2 linked regions of the Sus scrofa genome follow. The protein of the gene in region 2 interacts with the protein of the main gene of each other region in a biochemical or structural test. Links are inferred from orthologs where the notes say so. Each region holds a gene or a part of one and is shown on either strand. Other genes may lie near its edges.

Region 1 (4,129 bases), on a different chromosome or scaffold from region 2:
AAGGCCAGATCCAAGCCGAGTCTGCAACCTACACCATAGCTCATGGCAATACTGGATCCTTTCACCCACTAAGCAAGGCCAGGGATCCAACCTGAGTCCTCATGGATACCAGTTGGATTCATTACTGCTGAGCCACACAGGAACTCCATGATTAGCATGTTTGATATAAAAATATCAAGTCTTTTTTGTGGGCAAAAATTTTTCCTCAAAATTGTTTTCCATTTTACATGCTATTTTAATGTGTTTTTTAAACTTATTTTGACATAAACAGAAAAGTTGCAAAGATAGTAAAAAGAATCCCCATGTACCCTTCACCCAGATGTACTGCCTTTTAAAAATTAATTGCAGGGAGTTCTCATGTGGTGCAGTTGTCACTGCAGTGGGGGTGGGTGGGCAGGGTCGGTCTGATGCTTTGGTGACAGATTCAATCCCTGGCCAGGGAACTTCCATATGCCTTGGGTGCAGCCAAAAAAAAAAAAAAAAAATTAATTGCACACTATGAACATTTTTTTATGTCCACAGACACCATGGCCAACATTTATTACTGGCCAGGTGAGCCTTTTATCCACCATGACTCTGCTATCCCCACAATAACCCCTTAAGACGAATACCATAATTTCCCACGCCTCACATATGAATAAATCAGGCCTTAGATGCTTCCAAAATGTCACTTCACAATCCTTTGTTATGGATCTTTGATTCCTATATTTGTGCACCTACTCCTTAGGTTTTCGATGCCATCTCTAAGTAAGATTATCCACAAAATTCCCCCAAGCCTGCTGGCAGGGCTGAAGGGAGGTCCACAATCACCACAGCACCTTAAATCCATGTCCCATCACCAGGCTACGCCATGGCCCATAATGCACAATGACTGACTACATTTAAAATCTTATAGTGATCTTGTAAACAGCTTAATGTTTCATTTATGATTCAAAATTACCTCATCAAATTTAAATATGTAAATCATACTCTCCTCTCTGCAACCCTACTGGATATTAGTTCATGTAAAAATGTGTGTCCATCCTATGTTCACAGAGTTATTCACAGTAGCAAACAGTAGAAGCAAACCAGGTGTCTACGAACAGATGAATAAATAAAATGCGGTGTCAGGGTGGAAAAATTTTCCTTCTATTTTTCTAATTTCTTTGGCTAGTCTAATGGTTAAATTGTCATAAAAAAGATTAATAGGCAAGGAACCAACTTAATTTCATATGTATGGGAGCCCTATAAAAATAAGAAGGTAGTCAGGCAAGTGAGGCTTATCTGCCCTCCTGAGCTGAGGGAAGGGTTGGGGCTGGAGCTTCAGAGGGGAGGAGGGCCACTCACAAGAAGAGAAGAGCAGGGCAGAGGCTTGGTGATTAGATGTTTGTCCTGCCATGCATGTAAGTCTTTTATTTTATTTTATTTTGATTTATTTATTTATTTTTTGTCTTTTTGCTATTTCTTTGGGCCGCTCCTGCGGCATATGGAGGTTCCCAGGCTAGGGGTCGAATCGGAGCTGGAGCCGCCGGCCTACACCAGAGCCACAGCAACGCGGGATCCGAGCTGCGTCTGCAACCTACACCACAGCTCACGGCAACGCCGGATCGTTAACCCACTGAGCAAGGCCAGGGACCGAACCTGCAACCTCATGGTTCCTAGTGGGATTCGTTAACCACTGCGCCACGACGGGAACTCCCCAAGTAAGTCTTTTAGATAGAAAAGTTTCTCTCTGGTAATTGCTTTTTCTGGTCTGGTCCTTATTTAAATTCTTTTAGGCAGTTAAGGGAGAGCTACAGGCTTTCCCTCATATTGCTGGATACTGACTGCCTTTGGCTCAAAGCAACCCGCGTGCCAAGTTGGCACACTTGGGGTGGCTATTCCGCTACCCTTCAGGGCTCGTGAAAACCACAGAACATCAACCTGCCTTGAAAAAGAAAGGAGCGTGCTACAGCGCGAGTGAACCTTGAAGACTTTATGCTCAGTGATGCACACCAGTCACAAAAGGACAAACACTCCAGGCCTCCTGTATGAGGAAAGAACGGTGGTTGCCAGGGACTGGGGAGGGACAAATGTGGAGGTACCCTTTCAAGGGTACAGAGCTTCGGTCTTCGGCAAAATGAACTTATATAGAGCCTGATCACAGAGCAACGCGATGTATTTAATGCCACTGAACTGCACACTCGAAAGCGACTAAGATGGTTAAGTTCCACGCTGTGTGTATATCACCGATATTAAGTGTTTTTTAAACTTACACAGGATGTGTTTCACATTAATTAAATAAGCAAAGGGTCTCCGACCCGACGCTGTGCTCAGAGGCAGCCCGCTCCGCCGCCCCACCTCCCGGCAGGCCTCCTGGGTTAAGCGTCACTCTGAGGCGACCCCGCGGCCAGAGAAGAAAACCTGCGAACCTGGAGCCCCGCACTGAGCCTTACACATGTCGTTCCCAATGGAACGTTTCGGGATTTGCGTCTTCGCTCGAGGAGACCGAGGCCCCGTGAGTCTTAAAGGAAAACACCAAGCCCGCAACAGTGGGCCCCCATACACTTCCTGGGCTCGGCTTCTCACTCTGTACCTTTCGCGGCAGGTCACGCCTCAGAAAGGAGGGACATAGCTCAGACCCCGGGTCACTGCTGACTTCGCGGCCCAACGAGGCGCTCTGAGGGCGGGGGAGCCGGGTGGGGAGGGAAACACGCCGCCGCTCACTTTCATTTCCGGCCGCCCAGCCAACGCCTCCATCTTGTGCCTTCTGCCGCTTACTGACAACAAAGGCGCCGGGAAATTCCGCGGGAGCCGTCTTTGGCTAGAAGCCTGCTGCAAGCCCTACGCCAGGATCGCCGCGTGTCCCAGAAACAGAACAGCTTCTCAGCGTTCCGAACCGCCCCATAGGCAGCCGCCATTTTGTACGGCAAACCCCTCTATTTCCGCGACCGGCCGCTGACGTAACTGGCGAGGTGCAAGCCAACAAAGGCCGCGCTCATGCCCTCTGGCGGCGGTACAGGAGCAGCATCGCCAGCTTTGACCTGCGGGGGGACTCTGCTTCCGGGTCTTCTCGGGGGGCGTGGCCCGGACCTGTGAGCCGAGCTGGGGCGCGGCTGCGGTGGCCTGGGAACGTGTGTATTGGCATTGGCGCGGGCGCTGTGTGCTGAGCCAGCATGGCTTGATGGGCTCGGTGATCTGTTAGTCACCGTGTCGGAAAGGCCCGTGCTGTTGTTGCCATTTACAGATGAGAAAACAGCGTCCACCTTGCCCTCCCCATTCAACCTTAGTGGAGGTGGCCCGGAGGTCCCTCCTTTATATAAAATGGGGTGACGTTATCTAATGGGCAGGGCAATTGCAAGGACTGAGTTTTCCAATCACAGTATCTCCTTAAATCTCCGTTTCTTACCCACTCGTAATAGTAAGAACAGCAACCCCTTACAGCATGTGTACCACTTGGTCTACAACCCTATGAGGCTCGTTTTACAGGTGAGGACAGGGAGGAAGGCTCAAAGTCCCCCAATAGCTGGTATTGGGGACAGTTTGGGGTGAGAGATTGACTAACTGTAACTGCTACACATTCTCCCTGTCAGGTGTGTGCAAAAAAGGTGGTAAAGTAACGGAGCCCAACCCTCATAGTTGTTGCAGCCTCCTGGGACAGACACTGGGGCTTCTAAGGCCAGGCCCCTCAGGGGAGGAAAGAGATGAGGTAGGGAAGAAGAGGGGGAGTACCAGAGGGAATGGGCTGGAGGCACCGAGAAGCATCTTTGTCCCTTCTGCACCAAAAGTGAGGAAATGGCTTTCAGCCTGAAAAATGGGAATCTGGGATGATAGTAATGATGATAATTGCTACAACACACTGAGCAGTTACCACAGCTACCACAGTAAGCCTTAATCCAGCCTCAAAAATGGAGACAACTTGGGAAAAGTAGGTCCCTTATCCTTGGCAGTCTTTTACTTACCTATGAAGCTAGGGCAGAGAGGATCCCTGTCCTGGCCACCTAGCCAAGTTGTTATGAGCATAGAGTTTTGGTGTTCTCTTTGCCATCTGATGTGGCTTTTTTTTTTTTTGTCTTTTTGCTATTTCTTGGGCCGCTCCCGCGGCATATGGAGGTTCCCAGGCTAGGGGTCCAATCGGAGCTGGAGCCACCAGCCTATACCACAGCCACAG
Region 2 (4,169 bases):
ACTGAAGAACCATAAACAACACAGAGGTCAGTCCGGTGGTTTAAGGGAAGGCCCACCATCGCATTCTCTGAATGATTTTGACACTCTTGTAAAACAACTATACAATGAATTTCTGGAATTAAAGAAGTATCCTTTCTCACTCCATGCACCCTCTCCCTCTCTTTTTTCTTTGGTATTGTCAGACAGCAAAGCATTTTAAATAACGGAAATGGGATGCAGGTGGGAGGAGATCAAACTTCAAAATACCTATGAGAGTTGCATTAGCTGCTTGGCACAGGCAATCTAAGCCCCCTCATCAAATACAATCACTTTAACAGAAAGTCCATTGTGGAGTCCCCATTGTGGCGCAGTGGAAACGAATCCGACTAGTAATCATGAGGTTGTCGGTTGGATCCCTGGTTTCGCTCAGGGAGTTAAGGATCTGGTGTTGCCATGAGCTGTGGTATAGGTCGTAGCTGCCTCTGAGAACCTGCACTGCTGTGGCTGTGGCTTAGGCCAGCAGCTGTAGCTTCTATTCAATCCCTAGTTTGGGAACCTCCATATGCTGCAGGTGCGGCCCTAAAAAAAAAAAAAAAAAAAGAAAAAGGCATATATATATATATATATATGTTCACTTTACCTTGATCATTTAGGCGGTACCTTACTGGGGGAATCTTGTATGAACTCCTGTATATATATATATATATATATATATATATATATGTAAAACCATATTCAGAATCAATCAATGCCTAGGAAGCAACTACTATGCCTTCATATCTTTTTTTCCTTCTGTAAAGCAAGACTAATTTTGCAAATATATATTGCCAGGTTGGCTGTTTAGACTAACTAAAACAAATACAGACGCAGTGAGAGTTCCAGTCTGCCGAAACTAGGGTGAAAATTTTTTTGTGGCTTTTCATTTGGGCGACCTAAAGACAAAAAGATAACAGATAGAGTTTGAAGGTATTGGTGTGAAAAATTATGCCTGGGGGGCCAAAACGAAAGTAGAGACAAGATGGAAGCAACAGTTTCCAGGTTGGAATTAAAATTTCCTTTGTTCACAGAGCAATCCCCTTTCAATTTCACTGTGCCCTCCCTGTCTCCTAACAATTCTTGCTTCATCAGTGTCATGGGGTTCCCAGGTTTTCCCACATTCATCCTAGCCGTCAGAGTAAAAATCTCTTTTGTGTCTCAAAACTCCAGGCTAAAGTCGCGACTGCACTTAGCCCGAAAAATGAATACAGCTTTTAACACTCGTGTAAAACATTTCAACTATAACGCTGTAGCTTTCTACCTGGACCTGCCACTCGAGAACTACAATACCCAGAATGCACTGTTTCCCCTTCCGCCTTCTGCCTCTGCAAAGCCTAACTTGATCTCATTTCCACCTAGCAATAGTCACATGACACATTTCCTGTCAAGATGGCGGAAAATCTCCCCTCGGAGTTTGATGTGATCGTAATAGGGACGGGTATGTGTGGCTATGGTACTCCCTGGACAAACTGTAGGAAGTCTTTCCCGTTCCTACCCTCTCTGTCAGTGGCAAGGGTCGGCGAGAAATGTTGGGGGTCGAGCATAAGAGGGAGGACGGAAAGGAAGTGAGGTAGTCTGGAGTCAGCGCGGGACTTGGCAGCTCCAGGGAGGGGCTTGGACCGGCTGTGCTTAGCGCCATTTGAGTAGGGGTCGATCTGGTCGATGCCGATTGCCGAGGTTGGTTGCTGCGGGTGATTCCTGTAATTTCCTTAGAGGGAGGTGGGTGTACAGTGTCATGAGAATGGAGGGTTGGGATTTTATCAATGGAGACACCTTTGGCATGACATTATGATTTCCTTCTTGTGGATTTCAAGGTGATCCTCCCCATCATTTTGTCTCGCCATTCGTAGGAATTTTTCATATATTTATAAAGTTTTAGGGTGCAGTGCAGCCCGGATACAGCGTGTTAGTTGTTGCCCATGTACGTTTTAATTTACTAAAGCGAGGAAATGGATTCTTTTCTATTGTCTTGAGAATCCTAGGGGGTTGTAATTTTTTGAGGTAGCCATTATTCCTGCTTTATGGTGCTGAAAGAAAGCGTTTTGTTTTCTACCACTCACTTATCTACCCACAGCTAAATTAGCTGAGAACAAGCGTGTCCAGTTCAGGTGTGTGATCTTATCTTCCCCCTTTTCTTCCCCATCGTTTATTCTCCATGTTTTGGGTGGTGACAGAACTTCCCCTTCAATTTCTAGTTGACAAATTACACGTTACAGCATGTGGCAGAAAACATTTGGCAGCAGTTCATGTATTGTTTTTAACAATGTAAAGGATGGATTTTAGATGGAGTGAAATAGTTTGTAGGGAGGGGTTTTCTCCTGTCTGCAGAACGTGGTAGGCTGGAGAAGCTCTGGTGTATGAGACCCTGTCCATTGTGTTAATGAATTCAGTTCATTGTCTTCTCAAATAGTAGGAGTGGCCATGTTTCCAGGTCGGGAGTAAAAATAATAAAACTGTCTATTTTCGATTGTGTATTACTGGCTAATTGATGTGCTAAGCACTTTACAAGCCATATGTAATCCTCACAACAACCTAGTTAGAATAGGTCTTATCTACACTTTACAGAGGAGGGGAAAAGGCTTGGAGAGATCGCAGTTTGCATAAGATCACACAACTGGTAAATTTCCAAAGGCCCATTCCATCCCAGAATGAGAATAAGTGGTTCTGACCCTCAGAGTTAACCCATATGAATAGAAATAATTGGAAAAACTTGGTTCTAGACCCTGCTTGGCCATTAACTAGCTGTGTGAATTTCTAGAGCTAGGCACTTAATCTCTCTGAGTCTCAGTTTCCTTGTTTTTGAATATAGGAAGGCTTTACTGGATAGCCTTTCAGGTGTTGTCTAACTAAAAATTCTCTTATTCTTGTACATGGGTAATTGTTCTCAAAACAGCAAGGACATATTTATTCTCAACCTGAACACCGCATGGCTACAGATAACCTTGCTGTAGCTGCTATGAACAGATGTTGGATGAGAGCTGGAAGGGTTCAGTTAGACTCTATTCTCTCCAGTCTATCCTAAAACTTGGAACAACATCTGCTTTAGAATAGTTGTTATCCATACTTGGGTCCTATGTTACTCCCTTTTTTGTTGTTGCTACCTCAGAACTTAGGGTGTTTTAAAAATTACCTTGAGTCCTTGCGATTTTTTTCTTATCTTGATTAAAATTTTAATTGATGAGTGCTAATTCTTATTATTAAGTGCTGTTAATTCTTATATAAGAAATATTTTGCCATCTAGTTCAGTTTATAATATGGACTACATCCATCCTGTTGGAATCTCATAAAATAAGAGAGTTAGGAAGATTCTGTGACTGATCCAGAAAATTGCATTAGGAGGCATCCTGGATATTTGGGAAAAGATTCATCTTAGACTTATTTCCATGAGAGTAAAGTTATTTCTCAAAGTATGGGGAAAACTTATTTGAAGTTAAAAGTTTTTCATATCACTTAATGAACACATTTTTATCAAGTACATTACTCAAATTTATGATATGTAGCTTTATTTTTAGGTATGTCAAAGTGGAAAAATTGGGTAAAAGTCATTTCCCAAATAAATGAATCCAGTAACCCCAGTCATTAATTAACAAGAATTATTTTAATGTGTTTGGAATATTTATCTTCCAAAATAGTTTGCTGAAAGTAGCCTTTAAAATGTTTTGCGTGGGGAATTTCCGTTGTGGCTCAGAAGGTTAAAAACAGGACTAGTATCCAGGATATGGGTTCCTCCCCTGGCCTCCCTCAGGGGATTAAGGATCTGGCGGTGCAGTGAGCTGTAGGTCACAGACGCAGCTTGGATCTTCTATTGCTGTAGCTGTGGCATAGGTTGGCAGCTGCAACTCCAATTTGACTTCTAGCCCAGGAATTTCCATATGCCACAAATGTGACCCTAAAAAAAGAAAAATAAAATGTAATAAATATAAATACATAAAATAAATAAATAAAATGTTTTGCCTTACTAAATGTGCTTGCTTGAGTAAATCATAGAAAAAGTAGTATTTTAAAGATTCAGTTGTATTAACAAAAGTGGAATTAATCATGCCTGTATTAGAAACATGAAGAAATAGGCAATGAGATGCAGTTTTAAGAGAAAAAGAACTAAAAACAGATTTAGTTCTAGTTAAAATGTTGAGACAATTGCTTCATCAAGTAAA

What was found.
Region 1: the proteins of CHM (region 2) and RAB7A are reported together in a solved structure, tested with the Homo sapiens proteins (2 studies listed by BioGRID, with this or other methods). The link is inferred for Sus scrofa from reciprocal best matches to the Homo sapiens genes CHM and RAB7A.

Annotation. Positions count from the first base shown.
Region 1 is NC_010455.5:71,883,937-71,888,065, forward strand, and holds the start of RAB7A (ras-related protein Rab-7a), read right to left. Parts: upstream 2,823-4,129; 5' UTR 2,686-2,822; intron 1-2,685.
Region 2 is NC_010461.5:69,063,485-69,067,653, reverse strand, and holds the start of CHM (rab proteins geranylgeranyltransferase component A 1), read left to right. Parts: upstream 1-1,369; 5' UTR 1,370-1,404; coding exon 1,405-1,453; intron 1,454-4,169. UniProt on the Homo sapiens protein: Substrate-binding subunit of the Rab geranylgeranyltransferase (GGTase) complex.